Caenorhabditis elegans: one gene and its partners. The protein of the gene in region 3 purifies or fractionates together with the protein of the main gene of each other region. This does not show direct contact. Each region holds a gene or a part of one and is shown on either strand. Other genes may lie near its edges. The genes, in order: chin-1, rcat-1, lec-9 and K01A2.5.

What was found.
Region 1: the proteins of lec-9 (region 3) and chin-1 fractionate together in Caenorhabditis elegans (co-fractionation; one large-scale study listed by BioGRID). This does not show direct contact.
Region 2: the proteins of lec-9 (region 3) and rcat-1 fractionate together in Caenorhabditis elegans (co-fractionation; one large-scale study listed by BioGRID). This does not show direct contact.
Region 4: the proteins of lec-9 (region 3) and K01A2.5 fractionate together in Caenorhabditis elegans (co-fractionation; one large-scale study listed by BioGRID). This does not show direct contact.

What each region holds. Positions count from the first base shown.
Region 1 is NC_003281.10:1,031,167-1,039,217, forward strand, and holds chin-1 (Chimerin 2), read right to left. Parts: upstream 6,047-8,051; 5' UTR 6,045-6,046; coding exon 6,014-6,044; intron 5,929-6,013; coding exon 5,783-5,928; intron 5,735-5,782; coding exon 5,618-5,734; intron 5,289-5,617; coding exon 5,140-5,288; intron 3,871-5,139; coding exon 3,720-3,870; intron 3,304-3,719; coding exon 3,013-3,303; intron 2,109-3,012; coding exon 1,957-2,108; intron 1,656-1,956; coding exon 1,586-1,655; intron 709-1,585; coding exon 550-708; 3' UTR 156-549; downstream 1-155. Other genes in the region: pnpt-1 (polyribonucleotide nucleotidyltransferase), read left to right, coding at 6,343-6,389, 6,439-6,518, 6,672-6,801, 6,878-7,019.
Region 2 is NC_003282.8:253,105-257,039, forward strand, and holds rcat-1 (C2H2-type domain-containing protein), read right to left. Parts: upstream 2,326-3,935; 5' UTR 2,323-2,325; coding exon 2,068-2,322; intron 2,015-2,067; coding exon 1,785-2,014; intron 1,736-1,784; coding exon 1,525-1,735; intron 1,482-1,524; coding exon 1,311-1,481; intron 1,261-1,310; coding exon 1,040-1,260; intron 992-1,039; coding exon 790-991; intron 741-789; coding exon 591-740; 3' UTR 515-590; downstream 1-514. Other genes in the region: R02D3.8 (Exonuclease domain-containing protein), read right to left, coding at 2,953-3,093, 3,141-3,246, 3,382-3,554, 3,599-3,828, 3,881-3,935.
Region 3 is NC_003284.9:17,598,477-17,602,037, reverse strand, and holds lec-9 (Galectin), read right to left. Parts: upstream 1,552-3,561; 5' UTR 1,516-1,551; coding exon 1,492-1,515; intron 1,434-1,491; coding exon 1,351-1,433; intron 1,303-1,350; coding exon 1,185-1,302; intron 813-1,184; coding exon 615-812; 3' UTR 535-614; downstream 1-534. Other genes in the region: C16H3.3 (INCENP_ARK-bind domain-containing protein), read left to right, coding at 17-61.
Region 4 is NC_003280.10:300,723-304,159, reverse strand, and holds K01A2.5 (AB hydrolase-1 domain-containing protein), read right to left. Parts: upstream 1,756-3,437; 5' UTR 1,746-1,755; coding exon 1,464-1,745; intron 1,405-1,463; coding exon 1,251-1,404; intron 1,040-1,250; coding exon 928-1,039; intron 808-927; coding exon 558-807; 3' UTR 501-557; downstream 1-500. Other genes in the region: col-69 (Nematode cuticle collagen N-terminal domain-containing protein), read left to right, coding at 64-236; K01A2.6 (AMIN domain-containing protein), read right to left, coding at 3,393-3,437.

The DNA of each region.
Region 1 (8,051 bases), on a different chromosome or scaffold from region 3:
AGCAAAAATTTGGCGGTGTTTGGGCTTCTGACTGAAAATCATCGGTTCCAAGCCAAAATTCAAGGCTTTGAGCCAAAAACTGCAGAAAAATATGAAAATTTCGGAATTCAACGCGCCAGGGGTCTTAAAATCACAAAATTTTGAGAATTTTTGAATTACAGCTCAATAAATTTATATTCTAAAACTCGGAAAAAAACATTATGCAATAAGAACGTAACAACATGTGAAAAATAAGGAAAAATCATAAATAAATGCATAAAACTGGTCAAAAAACATGCAAAAGCGAGAGAAAACGGGTACCCGATATGTAAATGAAGAAAAGTATGCGGAGAGATGAGAGAAATTGCTGAAGAAAATGCATAAACTGGGAGATATAGATCTAGGAAAATGAAAATTTAGGCAGAGGTTCCCCGGGAAAGTGGTCAAGCCGGCTCGGTGAGCAATTAAAAGTCGAAAATTCCAAATTTTCACAATTTTTCATACGAAAATTTGAGATTTTCGACCCAAAATCGCCGATAGAGCACACTTGCCACCACGGGGAGCAATAAATTAATGATGTTTCGGCACGACACGTGGATTATTGATCAGAAAATGGAGCAGCTGATGGTTCGGCATGGCGGGTATGGAGCCCGAGCAGAAGAGTGTCGGCGAGAAAATTGTCGCCAGATTTTCGACGGTCATCTTGTTTTTTGCACTGTGATCTGCCACCTGGAATTGGGGAAATTTTTTGAAAAATTCCAGAAAATTTGTTTGAAAATTCGAATTTTTTAACTTAAGAACTAATTTTTTAGGGGAAAACTAAATTTCAAGCCAAATAAAAAATATTGGCCACAGCGGGGGTCAAACCTCGGTCTTGTGCTTGGCAGCCATCCGTGTTACCCACTGCGCCATCGGTGCAAGTTTTAAATTTCGCAAAAACTGGGTTTCGGGGTATTTCTAGGGGGTTTGCACTAATTTTTACACCTAAAAGCTATGAAAAATTACTAGAGTTGAGTTTTTAGAATATTTCCTTGTTCTTACGAAAAAAAATTAAGCGAATTTTGCAAAAGTTTGAGCCATAAAACTTTAAAACGCTATGAGAACCAATTCCAAGCAAAATAAAAGAAATTCGCCCCGGCGGGGGTCGAACCCCGGTCGTGTGCTTGGTAGCCATCTGTGTTACCCTCTGAGCCACAGGTGCATTTTTGAAAATTTGCGGAAAATGGGTTTCCGGGAATTCTTAGGGGGTTTAAACTGATTTTTACACCTAAAAGCGATGAAAAATTGACTAGAATTAAGTTATTTGGGGCTTTATTCATTTTTATAAGAAAAATTCGAAATTTGGACAGAAAATAATTCTAAAACTGGTTTTCGACACTTTTAAATGCTTTGAGAACCAATATCAATCAAAACAAAAAATTCGCCGCAGTGGGGGTCGAACCCCGGTCGTGTGCTTGGCAGCCATCCGTGTTACCTACTGAGCCACCGATGCATTTTCGAAATTTCGCGAAAATGGGTTCTAGGGTATTTTCAGGGGGTTTGGAGTGAATTTTTAGGTCAAAAACCTTCGAAAATCCACTTAAATAGTGAAATTTTGAATTTTTACCTTTTTCAAATGCGCCAACACTGCTCCAAGTGTGATTATGTTCGCATCGGACAGCTCCATCATCACTTTTCTGAAATTTTCCAGTAATTTCAGAATGTTTTCCAGTTTTCGAGAGAAAAAATGAAAATTTGGGCAGAGGTTCCCCGGGAAAGTGGTCAAATGGGCTCGGTGAGCAATTTTGGGTGGAAAAATTCAAATTTTCACAGTTTTTTACGCGAAAGTTTGAGATTTCCAAGTCAAAATCGCCGATAGAGCACATTTGCCACGGAATTTCCAAAAAAATTTTTTAAAGCTATTTTTTGGCTCATTTTCACCGGGATTTCTACAATTTTGGGAAAATTTTGGACCCAAAATCCCCAAATTTCCAGCACCTTATCTGCCGCTCCCTCTCATGTGTAGATCGTTGATTCGTCTCCTGGTAGGCGACGAGAAGCTGCTTATGGACGCTGAACGGGATCAGTTGCTGTGGTAGTAGGCGGAAGTAGAGCTTCAAGAGCCCGCAAACTGTGTGAATATCGCAAACCTGAAAAAATTGGTGAAATTTTGAGAAAAATTGAAAGTTTTTTGGGGTAAAAATGAAAATTTGGGCAGAGGTTCCCCGGGAAAGTGGCCAAATGTGCTCGGTGAGCAATAGAGGTCTGAAAATTCCAAATTTTCGTAGTTTTTTATGCGAAAATTTGAAATTTTCAGCCCAAAATCACCGATAGAGCACATTTGCCACGGAAAAGCATACAAAGACAATTTTAAAGAAGAATTCAAAAATTTAGTGAAATTTTTGTGAATTTTCTAGAAAACAATAGACAGTTTTTGAATTTTCGAATTTTTTAGTGTGAGAAAACTAATTTTTTTTCGATATTTTCCAGTAAATTTCAGATTTTTACACAAAAATTGAGTTTCAAGAAAAAATTTGAGTCATAAAACTTTAAATCGTTCTGAGAATCAATTTCAAGCAAAATAAAAGAAATTCGCCGCGGCGAGGGTCGAACCCCGGTCTTGTGCTTGGCAGCCATCTGTGTTACCTACTGAGCCATAGGTGCATATTTGAAATTTCACAAAAAACGGGTTCTAGGATATTGTTAGGGTTTTCAAAGTGAATTTTGCAGTAGAAAACTTGAAAAATTGAGCTGAATATGTGAAATTTCGAGTTTTTCGAGTAAAAATGAAAATTTGGGCAGAGCTTCCCCGGGAAAGTGGTCAAATGTGCTCGGTGAGCAATTCCGGGTGGAAAATTCCAAATTTTAGCAGTTTTTTTATGCGAAAATTTAAAATTTTCAAGCCAAAATCGCCGATAGAGCACATTTGCCACGGAAATCTTATTTTAGGTCAATTTTCTTCAATTTTTACGATTTTTGGCTCATTTTCTTTGGATTTTTGCAATTTTTTAGGCAAAAACTCCGGGAAAACGCTGAAAATCCCGCGCAAATTACCGTAGCCAAGTCCACATATTGATTAGAATCAAACTGTTGCTTGAGCTTTTCCATATGATCATAGGATCCCGAAACCCGATAAATCCCCTCCACATCAAGACCCCTCGATTCGACTTCTCCAATGCAAAGTGGCACGATTGGCGGCAAATCTGCTCCGTGAGCCATGCACAGGGTGGTAATGTCGACGCCGAACATGCGTTTCACGTATTTCGAGTCGGGCACACAGTCGTGAAGCGTTTTTTCCGAGCATTTTTTGTGAGCCGCGAAGCCACAGTCCTCGCATCGCATTCCCTGGAAAATTTGATTTTTTTGAAATTGTTTCTCGAAAAAATATTAATTGCGCTAATCCTTCATAAAATTCGAAATCAGCGCAAAATTTAGCCTTAAATAGCTTTAACTCAGACTTTCTAGCTCAATTTTGAAATTTCGCGGGGTACTGTAGCTCCAAAAGTACGCAAACACCGACTACAGTAACCCGAAACACCGGATCTTACGTAATTGCGAGATTTTTGCCTGAAAAACGAGTTCCGGGGGTAAAATAGTGCGGGGAATTCGAAAAAGGCATTAAAAATCCGAAGAAATTGCCAGTTTTTGCGAAAATTGTGTTTTTTTCATGAATTTTTTTCAAAAAATTCCAGAATTTCGCCCTAAAATTTCACAATTTCCAGTTTTTTCTTAATTTTCGCGTATATTTTATAATATTTTACCTGATGCACCAATCCCCACAGGAAATTTCGGCAATAATCACAGTAGTGCGGAGCTTTGAAGGTGTACGACGTGAAGTTGTGTGCTCGAGTGACGGGACGGCGTACAATGTCTGAAGTGGTGGCGGCGGCGTTCGTATACCGAGAATATGGGCTGAAAAATCGATATTTCTATGGGGAAAACTGGAAAAACCGCAAAAATCTAAACTGTTTAAGGTAAAAATGAAAATTTGGGCAGAGGTTCCCCGGGAAAGTGGTCAAATGGGCTCGGTGAGCAATGTCGGGTGGAAAATTTCAAAATTTTTCAGTTTTTAATGCAAAAATTTGAAATTTTCAGCCCGTAATCGCCGATAGAGCACATTTGCCACGGAAAAGCGTACAAAGACAATTTCTAGGGAGAATTCAAAAATTCAGAGAAAGTTTTCGAATTTTCTAGAAAAAAATTGGAATTTTTGACGCGTTTCGTAGCTTTTTAGCACTGAAAAATCTAAATTAGGGCAAAAAGACTAGTTTTTGGATATTTTTCAGTTTTTACCGTAAACTTGTCATATTTTTTCACTATTTTCCGATTTTTACATCAAAATTTGACCAAAATCAGGGAAAACTCAATTTTTCGGCAATTTTACGGTAATTTTGAGCTCTCGAAGCTTAAAATTAGCAATATTTTAATTTTTTCAAGTTTTTAAGGTAAAAATCGAAATTTGGGCAGAGGTTCCCCGGGAAAGTGGTCAAATGGGCTCGGTGAGCAATTAAAAGCTTAAAAATCCAAATTTTTGCAGTATTTAATGCGAAAATTTGAAATTTCTAAGCCAAAATCGCCGATAGAGCACATTTGCCACGGAGAAAACAGAAAGTAGGTTTGAATTATTTAAGTGAGCTTTTTATTGAAATTTTTAGAATTTTCTAAGAAAAAATTGGCAGTTTTTGAATTTTCGACGCGTTTTGTAGTTTTTAGCATTTAAAAATTAACGTTAGGGCAAGAAATCTAGTTTTTACCATATTTTTCAGTAAATTTCAGATTTTTCCCACTATTTTCCGATTTTTGGAGCAAAATTCAACCAAAAACCCGAAAATTTTGCATTTTTGAGCTATTTTACGCTTTAAAAGCAGAAAATTAGCGAAAATGTCATGTTTCCAAAGTTTTTGAGGTAAAAATGAAAATTCGGGCAGAGGTTCCCCGGGAAAATGGTCAAATGTGCTCGGTGAGCAATTAAAAGCTTAAAAATCCAAATTTTTGCAGTATTTAATGCGAAAATTTGAAATTTCCCGCCTAAAATCGCCGATAGAGCACATTTGCCACGGAATTTATATTCTAAGTCAATTTTCTTCAATTTTTATAATTTTTGGCTCATTTTCTTGTGATTTTTGCCATTTTTCATGATTTTCGGCCTATTTTTCGCTAATGTTCCGCCAATTCCCATACCTATCCTCATAAATCGCCTCATCCGCCATTCTTTTTATATAATCCGCCGCGTGAAGGTCCACAAACATTGAAATGAGCCCATCAGCCACCAAAAGGTCCATAGTGTCGAAACGCTTCTCCCCAACGTAGAATTGACCGTCGTAGTAGAGCTGGAAATTTAAAAATTTGGCTAAAAATTGAAAAAATCCCAAGTTTTTGAATTAAAAATGAAAATTTGGGCAGCGGTTCCCAGGGAAAGTGGTCAAATGTGCTCGCGGAGCAATTTTAGGTGAAAAATTCCGAATTCTCGCAGTTTTTTATGCAAAAATTCGAGATTTCCAGCCTAAAATTGCCGATAGAGCGCATTTGCCACGGCGAGTTAACAAAAATTGGGAATTTTTCACTAAATTCGAAAATTTAGCGGAAAATTTGATATTTTTCGGGTATTTTCTTGATGTTTATCGATTTTTTCTGCTTTTTAAACTCTAAAAATGCTTACTTTATAATTCATAACCTTTGCATCAAAAATCATACACAAAGTGCACGCGTCTCTGCTCCGATTCGACTCCCGCACCAAATACGAGCCTTCTCCGGCCTCCAGCAGCATTTTTTCGGCCTGAAAATCGAATTTTCGAGCTTAAAACACCCAAAAATCACTAAAAACCTCATTTCTATCGATTAATCCGTGAAATTCGGCTCCAAAATGTCGAGGTCTCTGCTGAAGAGGTTTTCGGCACAAAACTGCGTTGGGTTTCGGCGCTTTTTCTTGTAAAAGGTACAAATTTTGCTTCCAGTATCCTTTTGATGCTCCTGGAAATTGGAAAATTTGAGATTTTAGCTTTTCGGATATTTTTAAAGCTTCCAAAACTTGTTGAGCTTGAAAAAAATGACTTACCCGAGCTCCCAGGAGGCCCGTCGTCTTCCATACCTGCAAAAATTCGATTTTTATTGATTTTTTAACTGAAAATGCAAAAAAATCGAAGAAATTTGGAGAAAAATGAGCAAAGTTGAGCTAATTTCTTAGAAAATAAATAAAATTCTGAAGAAAATCGCGAAAAGTGCCAGCGATCGAGACACGCGCCAGCAAAATTTCCTTGGCGCATTTCTCGACCAAATTATTTTTTTAATTCAAAACTTGAAAATATTGAATTTTCACTCATTTTCGCTGTTTTTTTCTCAATTTTTCGATAAAAATTGAATAAAAATTAGTTTTTTAGATTAAAAATGAAACTTTCCCGGTTGCCAATCCACATTTCCAAGAGATTTCACACGTAAGTCAGAAAATTATTCAAAAAAATAAAAATCTGGCGAGTTTTCCAGGAAAGAATATCGATTAGCGGGTCGAGAACAATCAGTAGCAGTGGATTTTGATGGAAAAAGTGGAATCGAGCTGAAAGCTGGTGGGAATTTGAAAAAAAACTAGAAAAAAAACGGGAAAAATTGCTAAAAATCTTAAAAATAAAGATTTCGAGCCGATTTTTGCCGCAAAAGATGCGCGAAAAAATTCTCCACTGTCTAGAAAAGGAATTTTCATGAAAATTTTGATTTTTCAGGCCACCTCGCCCGTTTTGCGTCATCCACCGTAGTTGCTTCATTCGGAGACAACGCCGTGATGGCTACAGTAGTACAACGGAAATCCAAGCAAGGAGATGGTAGTGGAGTACCGCTACAAGTTGAATATCGGTGAGAAATTCGGAAAAAAAATTGCGAAAAAACCGCTAAAAACCGATAAAAATGGCCTAAAAACTGAAAATTCCAGACCGTCAGCGTCAGCAATTGGCCGAATTCCAACAAATTTCCTGCGTCGTGAGCTCAGTCAATCTGACAATGAAATCCTCATCTCCAGAGCCATTGACAGGTCGATTAGACCACTTTTACCCGGAAATTCCTATGAAACTCAGGTAAAACTGGGATTTTCAGCGAAATTCAGAGGTTTTTGTTGGAAAAATCGAATTCTACGCGAAATTCTGCCTTAAGACCTTTAAAATTGGGTTTTCTATCGCAATTTTTGGAGTTTTGGGGTACGGTAGCCCCAAAAGTACGCAAACACCGACTACCGTAGCCCAAAACACCGGATCTTACGACATTTTAAGATTTTGCCCTGAAAAATGGGCTGAGGGGCTAAAAAATCACGAGGAACCCGAAAAACACATTGAAAACGTCTGAAAAATTCTGAAAATTCTGAGAAAATCGAATTTTTCAAAAATTTTAGTGCAAAAAATTGAAAAACCAACGGGAAAAGTTAAAAATTCGAAATCAGCGCAAAGTTTAGCTTTGAACAGCTTTTAGTATGACTTTTTAGCTCAATTTGGAATTTCGCGGGGTACTGTAGCCCCAAAAGTACGCAAACACCGACTACCGTAACCCAAAACACCAAATCTTACGACATTGGTGGAAAAAAAGGGGTTTAGGCTTAAAAAATTACAAAAAACTCCAATTTTCTAGTTCGAAATTACTAAAATTGAGGGAATTATGTTTTTTTTTCCAAAAAAAAAAAGTTTTTAAACATAAAAATTTAAAATTGGTTAAAAAGCCGTAAAAAAGTTCCGGAAATTCCTAAAATTATCAGATTTTTATGAAAATTTTAGTAATTTCCATACTATTTCTCAAAAAAATTCATTTTTTTTTCGTGGCAAATGTGCTCTATTGGCGATTCTGGGCTCGAAATTTCAAATTTTCGCATTAAAAACTGCGAAATTTTGGAATTTTTTGGCTTTTAATTGCTCACCGAGCACATTTGACCACTTTCCCGGGGAACCTCTGCCCAAATTTACATTTTTAACTGAAAAACTTCGGAAAATTCAAATTTTTGCTAATTCTAAGCTTTTAAAGCTCAAAATTACATTTAAATGGCTTGAAAATTCAGTTTTCCCCGATTTTGGTCAAGTTTTGGTGTAAAAATCGAAAAATTGCAAAAATCTGACAAAAAAAAA
Region 2 (3,935 bases), on a different chromosome or scaffold from region 3:
TGTATTTTTCGACATCGGCTGCCGCCGGTTAGAGGAGTTTCAATAGAGTGATTTTTTACAATAAATTGCCCAATTTTTGCCAGTTTTTAATGGTTTTGATAGGTTTAACCTAGATTTTCTGAACGCTGCATAAATGAATTACCCGTTTTCAACAAATTTGGACAATATTCAAATAATATATGACTGCCCTTTTTTTGGGCAAGAAATTTTTTTTTTTGAAATTGTACAGAACCATTAGAATTTGAAAAAGGGAAACTTTTTAGTATTGGGAGATCAATTTTGAGTCCTCTAACTACAAAATTGCCCATTTTAGAGGAGTTTCAAAATTGTGCATTTTTGCCACTTTTGAATAGTTTTTGATGTGTTAAACCTAGATTTTCTGAATTCAGCATACATGAATTACCCGTTTTCAACAAAACCAGACAACTTTTTATTTTTGCCCAAATTTTTTTCAGCCATCAGCATACAGCGTTTATTGTCAGGCATTTGAGATATAACTCTTTTTCGATTTGAATTATCTAATAAACTTTCATGATATGAATAAATAACAAGAACAACATATTTAATATCGCAAAAATGTATTAAATCGACTAAAAATTTAAGCCAATTGTGATTTTTCCAGCATCGTTTGGTGGCATCGTATCCACATCAACTACGTTGATATATTCATCTTCTTCCGCAGTTTCTGAATCCACAACTTGTTCGCGATGTTTTGCAGAATTATTTTCTGAAGTAGTTGCCTGAAAATTCAATTTTTGAGTTTTCAGAACAATTTAACCGTCTGTAAACCTTTTCAATGTTATCAGGTTTGCTTTGCATCCTTGGAATTTTCGCCTTAACCTCATCATCATCTTCTTCTCTCGGTTCTTTCGTACTATCTGCAGCAACGGCTCGCCGCTCTTTCAAACTAATCGGAATCGCAGAAGATTTTGCAGTGTCCGTTAAAAAACCAAGCTTCTCCCGTTCTCTATTGTACCGAACTGTGATATTTCTGCAAAAAACATTATATTTGCCTACTGTTTCGGATGATTACCCTCACCTAATATCATTCTTTGAGATATATTTTAATTTACACTCGTAGTCCTTGTACTCATTCCGAATAAAGAAGAAGATCTGATCAGAAGTCCATCCCAAGTCAATTAGCTCACGAACATATTTTTCCTGAGATTCGGTGAGCCATAGAAGTTTGTGATCAAGATCATGTCCGATATGAGTAAAGCATCCAGTTGCCCAAGTTGAACCGTCCTCTTCTGTTGTGACCTGAAATATTTTTCAAAATTTTAAAACAAATTTTTTAAAAAATGTTTTACTTTCAAATATGCTGTACAAGTCTGGTCAATCTTCCTGGGATTCGATTTCCTGGATTTTGCGACACTTTGATACTTTCCGACACGATGACACCTATAAAGTGTTTCTCCAGCATGTCCTGTACGTTTTGTCAACGATGTACATGTGTCCTCCTGTCTCTGATCGAACCATTCCTAAAATTAGATTTTTGTCATTTTATCGAGAATATTTAAAAACCTTAAACTGGTCTCTTGATTGGAAAAACTCTCGTTCTAAATTAAACTTCTGATCATGGGACATGTGTTCTTGACGGCAATGCAGTAAAAATTCATCCAACGACTCTGATGTACTCGAACATTCGGGACATTTTAAATTACATCCACGATATTTTCCTGGTAGTTGCATTAACGAGAATTTTGAAGGTTTTTCAATAATGGTGGCAATTTGGCTGAAAATCATAGTTTTTGACAGAAACCTTTATTTTTTCTAATTCCAACCATTCCTGCGTTAAATGATGTGGCTGGATTGGACGAGAAGCTTGTCGATGTGGCGGAATATTCATCTCGAAACTATCTCCAGATGATGTGGATGGTTTTTGTGTAGATTCTTTAGTTTCATTGATATCATATTCATTGATTCCAACAACTTCTTCTTCTCCTTCAACAATCATTTCATCTATATAAACATCAAGATGCTCGTTGTCATGTTGCGGTTGTTCAGTGCACATCTGCAAGATCCAATTTTTATATTTAGTTTTCCAGAAGAATAGGGTTGTATTACCTTTTTATGCTGAACCAGATGCTTGACACTTCGAAATATCATCCTACAGTGGCAGCAAACAAACGATGTGCTAGATGCTCGGCTCTTTTTTTCAGATTTTATAGCGGCAATCAGTTCCTGACAATCTTCAGTTGTCCAATTATGAATCTGTGTCATGTGACGATAGATATTCTTTTGTAGACATGTTAGGGCGCATTCTGGGCATCGTATCTGATCAATAATGCAGGACTCGAGTTCGATAGGATTTGTGGTCATTTCCTGCAATTTTCAAACATTTCTATATCCGGAAGTGAAAAATACGTGTTTTCAAGGATTATCAGTTCCAGAAAAATTGGCATTCACTTTTGTGAATTTTTTTGCGTTAAATTCTAAAAGTTTATGGAAAATTGACAAAAATCAGAGGAAAATAGAAAATTAAAACGATTGGTAGGATTTACGCTCGTAAATCCTGTCACTTCGACGCGTCGCGTGTTCGCGTTGCGTGTCTGCAAGTCCGCTCCATTGCAGAGAACTTTAAGCGCGATGTTTGAAATAATATTTTTTGTGTCTTATAAAGCTTTATTAAATACAACTGAAGTTGCAATTTTTTTTCAGATTGGACCGAGAGAGAAAACTTTTTATGAATATTTTCAAGCGGTTAAAAAATCAATTTAAAAGGGAAGAAAGTGGCGAAACTTCTTCAGTGTGTAGACTTCCTCATGGCGGAGAGAATTGACAGATTAAAACTTCCAAAAAAATCTAATTTCTAGAAACGTATACGTGAAACTGTACTTGCAATTCGATATTCTCGCTATATTTTTTGCAAAGATTTATTGTTCTGAACGGAAAAATGGCGGAAAAGTCAATATTTCGTATTAATACATATTGCTGAAAAATCGACAAAAATTATTTCCTCGCATCTCTGAACACCCTCCGCGTCATTGTGTCTTTGGAGCCTGTGATTTGATAGTTGTGCCCGTTCATGCCCAAACACCGGACAATTTCGCAGATATTTGCCACGTCATCAATTCCACTGTGGTGGCGACCCTGGAAAATTAGAATTTTGCTGAGATTTCAGAATTTCAGTAGAAAACCTGATGTTGCAGCTTGTAGATGGCCAGAAGCTGGGCTATTCCTTTCGCGAAATGATTTGTGTGCTCCGCAGAAGCCTTTTTCACGTTGATCCATTGATTGAAGTACCTGAAGGACAATTTGTTTGGATTTGTGCGGTTCGTGGGACAAAAATGATTGTTTTTTAATGAAATTTCAGATTTTTAGAGTCAAATTGTACGAATTTTCAGCCTCAAATTGTCAGTTTTACTCTAAAAAATTTACTCTGGAATTCCAATATTCTTAAATTTCGCCTCATTCGGCAGCGCGACTTTCAGATCCCAATCTCCACAAGTGACGAATGCAAATTTGCCCTTTTCCAGTCGAGAATCCTCTTTCAGCCAGCTATCAAATTCCGATAAAACTTGTGGAAGCGTCGGTTTTTCGTCAACCATTTCCTGGAATTTTAGCATTTTTTCCTCGAAATTTTTGCATTAAAAACCTGAATAATTCCTGTTAAAGATGTGCAGAAAGATGTGAGCCTTGGACATTCCGTCGGCTTAACGTATTGATGAAAACGACGAATTTCACTCCAATCAGCCGTCGAGAGCTGGACCACTGGGAATTCGATGATTTCTTGGACTGGATGCATCGGCCCTTTCCAGTTATCTTGACACGTGGCTTCGAAGTCTAATACTAGAAGATAATCAAAGTGCTGGCTCATTTTTTGATCTGAAAAGATTAAAATAAAGTTATTTTGCCAAAAAGTAAGCAATCTCCCCACTTTTCGTATCTTTTTTCAGTGAAAAGTTTGGATATCTGGGTGGTTTCTTCACTTC
Region 3 (3,561 bases):
GAATGTACTTTTTCAGCCGACATACCCATACCGTTATCCTGCTCACAACCGTGCAATCTGAAACTTCTACTCTAGTAGCATCAACTAATCAACAATTTGTATGAATAAAAATTAATCAAAGTCACTAAAAATTTACTTGTCGATTTATGTATCAAAAAACTATCAGCCCAAACAAAAAGTTGTACTCTCTATATATATTTTGGAATTTTTAAAGTTTGTATTATATTGAATGTTTTTATTTTTCCTGTTTTCCTGTCCATGGCTTTATTCTTGCAATTTTCTCCACCTCTCTCAGTTAATCTCTACTTTTCAATTCTGCCAAAAACCTCCTCTGAAACTCGCAATTTGTCAATGTTTCCCTATCCCACCTGTACTATCATTTTCTAAATTAATATTTAATTTCCTGATAAATATTTGTGAAACACAATCGCAAAAACTAGTATGCCAAGAATTCAAACACTCAAGTTTCGAAACTGTCCAGTGTTTCTCGAAATTATAGCTATTTGCCAGCAATGCTAAACTGATAAGAGCAGTCAAAAGACGGCAGTTTTGCACATGTTTATTACAAAAGTGTCCAATAAAAAAGAAATTGAAAAAATGTGGTAACGACTAATTTAATGGAATTGAGAATATTGAACATTGTTAATGTGAACTTTTCCTTCGAGATTGATAGCCTGAATGCTTTCAAAGGGAAGACGATGTGGGAAGTCTCCGAGAAGAACTCCGTTGGTGGTGATGTGGAAGTATCCTGGGTAGACACGGATTTGCAGGTCGAAGGCCTGGTCGTGGTGAAGTGGGTTGGCGTGGGAGATCTGAAATTTTCAATTTTGGTCCACGAAAATGGGACTGGAAATTTGGAGGGAATTTTGTTTTTAATGGTGCCCACCCTTCTGTTACAGGTTGTTAAGAGCATGCAAGTGTTCGCCAATGGCACTCTGTGACTGAAGCGTAATGTAGCTTTTTGGCCTAGGTTGCCATGCTATCTGCAAACTACATAGCTTACAGGAATTCATTGTATGTTTATAATTTAGTTTCACTAACAGTGCAACCTATGTTGGAAAACAACCTAACTACCGAGCGACTCAAAACATTCAGAGTTTCCCACACACGATTTTTTATGAACTTATGCATACAAATTCAATCCAACTCTTCCCGCTAAACAGTCTGATTTCAAAACAACGTACCTCGTTTCCCCATGCATTATCAATTTTAGCGTTGATTGCCACAATCTTCTGCTTCTCGAATCGGAAGTTGACGTGAAGAGCGATGTTTCCACCGGAGATCAGGTTGACGACAAAGTCCCTGAAAACCGATGTCATCATTTTTATGTTGATATCTTTTAAAACCCACTTTTTGTGCTTAACCAATCCATTGACAGCAATTTGAAGTCCGCTGCGAACTCCGAAGGGGAGAGCAAAGGTTCCTGGGACTGACTGAAAACGCTTTTTGAATTAGTTTTGTTTTGGAAAGAGGAGGGGAGGGTTGACTTACTGGATTGAGAATTGGAGCGGCCATTTTCAGAAAAAAAATGAAATGAAATGAAACTTCAAGATATGAATTTCAAGTGTTTCGATTCTCGGTTGTGGCCTATTTATTCTCACTTTCTTATCTATGCCTTCTTCCTCTCAGCTGCGATGAAGTTTGGCCGTGTAAACTTTCGATATCACTGGAATGACGTGTCACGTTTTGCCTGCCTAATACAAAAATGTTTACAATATGGATTGAAAATGGAATTTTATGCGTTTCTCTGCCAAATAGTCATCGTTTTCCTGGGGAGTACTATGAAGAGTTTGTTTGATTGTCGCAAAGTGCATGATGTGTTAGTTGACATTTAAAATACTTTTTGATAGCGTAAAACGGGAATTAGGACGATTATTTTAAGTGACAGTTTACAAGCCGAGAAGACAATCGTCTAACTTCTGATTCAACTAAATTGTAGATATCAGGAAAATTATTGGTTTTTTCAGTGTTATTTGAGAAAAATGGACATATGAAAAAATCTAGAATTTTAAAAATAATAATAAGGGGTTGGTTTTATTGAGAAAAATAAATTTTTTTAATACCTAATGATCAGAAATTATTCTTTAAAAACTGTCCTGAAAATTTGAACAATTAAGATTTTTCAAAACAGGAAAAACGAAAACTTCACGTGACAACAAAATGTTTGTTTTTTAGAGTTTCGGAAACGGTACAGAAATTAAAGCTAAAAGCTGAAATTTTCCCGAAGACAAAACTTGAACATTGGCATTTGTTGATTTGTGATTCTCAGATGAAATTATTCTGATTAGGATTAAATGCCATGAATCCGCTGGTTTTGCAGTCGTAAAAATGTATCTTTCAAACAAAATTAAAAAAAAAACAATTATTCTTATCCAATGATGCTCATCAGTAGCCAATGGCTGTCATCGATTTCTGTCGGCTCTTAGTTCTCTCAAACAAATCTGTTGAAATCCCAGATTGGCTTATAAAAATTTTCCCATAAAAAGTCTGCCGCTGTAAAATTAAAAAAAATTGTAGGAAGTAGTAAACTGAATAATAAGCACCACATCAAGTTTTCTCAAACACTGTTTTTACATACCTGTATTACAGAAACCCTATATCAAATTTTTAAAAAATTTCATTTGTTGTGCCAGTTTTTCCACGGACATAGTGTCAGCAAGTAAACTCCAAAATTTCAATTTCCTCGCTATCTTGCAAGTTTCTCGAATTCAATTAAGTTGTAATCGAAGGCACTGCAACATTGAAAGAATTAAGTACCTTTTTCTGTTTCCTTGTTGCACGCCATGTCTAGTTTTCTTTCTGCTTGCCTAAATGTAGAGCAATCGACTAACTATAATGAGTTCCAGTCGCGATATTTTATTTTAATTTAAATCGGTGGAAACTCTTAACTTCCGTTTTGTGAAAAATTGTAAGATTTTTCAATAGTTATGATTATTTTCACAGTTTTTTTCGGGTTTTCTGAGAACATTAAAATAATTTTCATCGTGTCGAGCAGGCTTAAACTTATTCTTGTTGGCACAATGCATTCCAATGGTCCCCTCCCACTCTTCACCTCAATGACGTCATCATTGTGTAGGGCGTGCCACAAGGTTTAATGCTACACAATTCCTGATAGCCATCAGTTCTTATCATTCATTCCCAACCATGCTCCTGGAGCAACTTTATTCATTCAACAAGCAGACACAATTTCTAACTCGTCGGTAGTCATCGTTCTAGCTGAAAAGGACACTATGACACTGAAGCGAGTTGGAAATAGTGGTTCTACTTGAGCAAAACTGTTGAAATTGGATTACAGAGATTATAACTAAGTTTTACACTGCTTCAAGTCACAGGGTCCACTGAACTTGAAGAAGAAGTAGGGCCAGTTTGAATTTTGTTAATTACGCTTCATTTCGTTCAATATGAGCAAGTAACACTGCAAAAACTTCAAAGTCTTACCGTAATTGAATTAATTTAAAAGAAAAATTGAAAATTTGTGTGATATTTTCTCATTTTACTAACGCTACTTCATCTAAAAGAAAAACTAAATTTTCAGATCTAAAACATGACACAGAGCGCAAA
Region 4 (3,437 bases), on a different chromosome or scaffold from region 3:
AGGCGGGGCTGATATTACGGCCTAAAAAAACTCAAATTTCAAATTTCAACATATTTTTTACAGTGTCCACAAGCTACGCCACAGCATCCCAAAGCCGTTACGTGTCAGAGTACAATAAAGAGGATGAGTACAGGAAACGAGTGCTGGCTCGAGTGCTCAAGAAGCAGAGACGACTACTTTTGGCGACAAGAGCAAAGAATGTTCGCCGGAAGCCTGTTAGTCACGCTAGTCCGTAATTATTTTTATTTTTGTGAAATAAATTTGTATAAACTTTTTCACGGACGTTTCCAGAAAGTATACTGTCCCAAAAATTTTAATTGGGCTTCGCATGGGCCCCGCCCACAAGGCTCGGACAGAAACCCTTTGTGAACGGGAAGATTTTTTTTCTGGAAATTTTAGAATTTTTTCTGAAATTTTCTTTTGGCAAAATTCCTAATGAAATCAGTCATTTTGTGGGTGGAGCTTATGAGTGTAATAGCGAAATTGCTTGAGACCAGGACGAATTTTTTATAAACTTTATTCTTCACAAAATACAAAATACAAATTTCATATATTTATCATTTCTTCTCCGTGCTCTTCAAGAATTCCAGAACCTTTCCGGAAAACCATTTGGGATATTTCAAATAAAAATCGTGTCCTCCTTGTGCATGAATCTCAACTTTTGCCAAACTCTTGAGCACTGGGATGAAGCATACATTCGGGTCACCACAGAACCGGTCCAATCCACCATTCATCACTAGTGTCGGGCATTTGACTTGTGGAAGTACCAGGTCACACGGGAAACGGCCACCGCAGAACGAGTGAACTCTGAAAATTCGTTTGGTTAGGTAGGAAGCAGACGTAGGTCGCCTTGAAGGTAGTTGGCAGACATATTTGTGCCTACAGGAATATACACAACTTCGCATAAGCCCCGCCCACAAAACTCACTGATCTACGACGTCACAAAGTGCCGCCCATTGTGTCCGGAGTGTTTCCGGCGAATAATGGTCCAAATATGGTTGACGACCGGCTGCTAGCCAATGATTTGTTTCACGCATTCCTGAAATTCCAAAAATTAATTTATAAAGAGCACAAAACCAATAGATGGCCACACCCATAAAATGGACGTTCGATTTATTTTCCCATAAAAAATCTTGTAGGTAGGTAGGCATAAATTGCTGCTTCTATGTGGAAAAATGGGCCATATTGGTGTCAAATTAAGAAATTTCATTAAAAAACAGTAATCTTCCAAATATATCTAAATATCTCACCCTTGAAAGCCATGGCTCCTAGATGATTAACTTTTGTTGCACCAGCCATTACAATCATTCGATTCACTTTTTCCTTTCCTTTAGCTGCCACGTGGACCGTTGTTCTAGCACCTTCTGACCACCCCATCACGGTGAACGGCTCTAGTTTCAGGGTCTAAAATTTGGAGGCTTTTTGAAAACGTAAAAATTTTAATTTCAAAATTAAAAGCTCACCTCCATTAACCCTAGGCAATATTCACTATCCTTCATACATCTCTGAACTTCTTGTTTTCGCTCTGGAGGTCTTGAGGTACCGTAACCTGGAGGATCAATCCCAACAATTGTGACCTGATCTGGTGGGAAATGAGAGAGCAATTTGAGTGGCCAATCTTTTTTATAGCAGCCGACAGCACCGCAAATCGCGAGAATGTAGTTCGGACCGTGGCCGTATTTACAGTAACCGATTTGAGTGTCCTTGATGTGTTCCGAACTTTCGATATAGTCGCTTTGAGTCATTTTTCTTTTGCTGAAATTTATTTAGGTGTTTAATTTGTTAATTATGAGGTAGCGACGGTGAGGAAATTTTCCGGATAATATAAATGTTTGAGACACCTTTGTGACCTTTGAGACCGCACACCTTTGAAGTACATCTCCCCGATTTCTTCTATCCTAGAAAGAGACGTAACAAGGGTCAAGGTTCAAATGTATTGCTAAGAGAACGCCTCTTGTGGTGTGGTAGTACTACAGTATTTACAACCTACTAGTACAGTAGGTCGTATATATTGTTATTGTCGATGATTTACAACCACCGGATTGACCTAGAATTAACATAGGTATTTGAAATCGGTTTAGGCCAAATAATTATGGTTCCGCGACATTTATAGAATTCGGAATTTTCTGAAGAGCGAGAACATGTATTGTGAACCTCTACAATATTTAAATACAGAAATGTAGAGTACAAAACATTGTTTTTTGATCGACTTCCAGAATTATGATACGTGAAAACTGATAGTGAATATTAAATTATTCGAAAATCGGACACATGGAATTATTGATCTCAAAAATTCGGTGAAATAGGCTAAAGAGGAAGGAAAACCAAAGAGGAAATTTTAAAAGTGCATGTATTTGAATGACGAATAGTTCTACGAAAAAGATTTTGAAAGTCCGATAGGAATGAGAAATTTGTAGCCTACAGATTAAGATTTCAGAAGGAATTTGGACAAGACCGGATTAATTTTGTGCCTGTAAGCTGCGGAAAGTTCTAGAACCATCTGGAAAATACGAGAAAGTTTTGGAATGTTCTAAAACCTTCTGAAAAATTAGATAGAATTCCGGAATGTTCTAGAACTATCTGGAAAATACGAGAAAATTTTGGAAGGTTCTGGAACCTTCAGAATAATTCGAGAAAATTTTGGAAGATTCTAGAAAGGTAATAAAAATTATTAAAAAAAACATAACCACTAAAACACCGAAACATCTAGTTATTTGTAATATAAATGTGTAGTTTCTAATAAAAAGGAACTATGAAACAGTAAAGTAAACCTTTTGATTTATACTGGGAGAGTATGCAGATTTCAATCTAGGATATGAGGGTAAATAGGGAATAACAGGTGAAAGTGTACAAACGCAGTCGGAGGAAGATGTTGTTAAGATGAAAGAAGAAGGAGAAGAACACAGGCACTTGGACACACAGAGGGAAATAAATGGGAAATGAAAGGGAAAAGGGATATGGAAGAGACAGAAAATTGTTCCTATTGTCTGAAGGTATTGTATAAAACCGCAAAGAGGAAATTGATGATCGAATCATGTGATTTTGCGGGGAGTGCTGAAAGCATTTTTTTCAGATTTGTCAAGCTTGGGTCTTTGATCTTTTAGGACAACACAGTTTTACACATCTGGAACAATGCGGCTTCACCCATGTTGTCGAACACAAATAAATTTTTATGAACCAAATTTAATCAATAAAACTTGAAAATTACAATATTAGAGAAAAACTTGAAGACGATTTTCTCATTTTCCAGTATTCCCTTGTTTCCGTGTCAATGTCCAAGACTCCACTTCCACTGGATCTCCAAGCGGCTCCCATTGATCCGTGAGCTGTCCTTGTCGATCTCTGAATACTCTAGCTCGTCTTAGGATTCTTCTATATACTGTCGCAGGGTACTATGTGTCGCAGTGTTCATTGGGGTCCTGCCGGTTGACAACTTG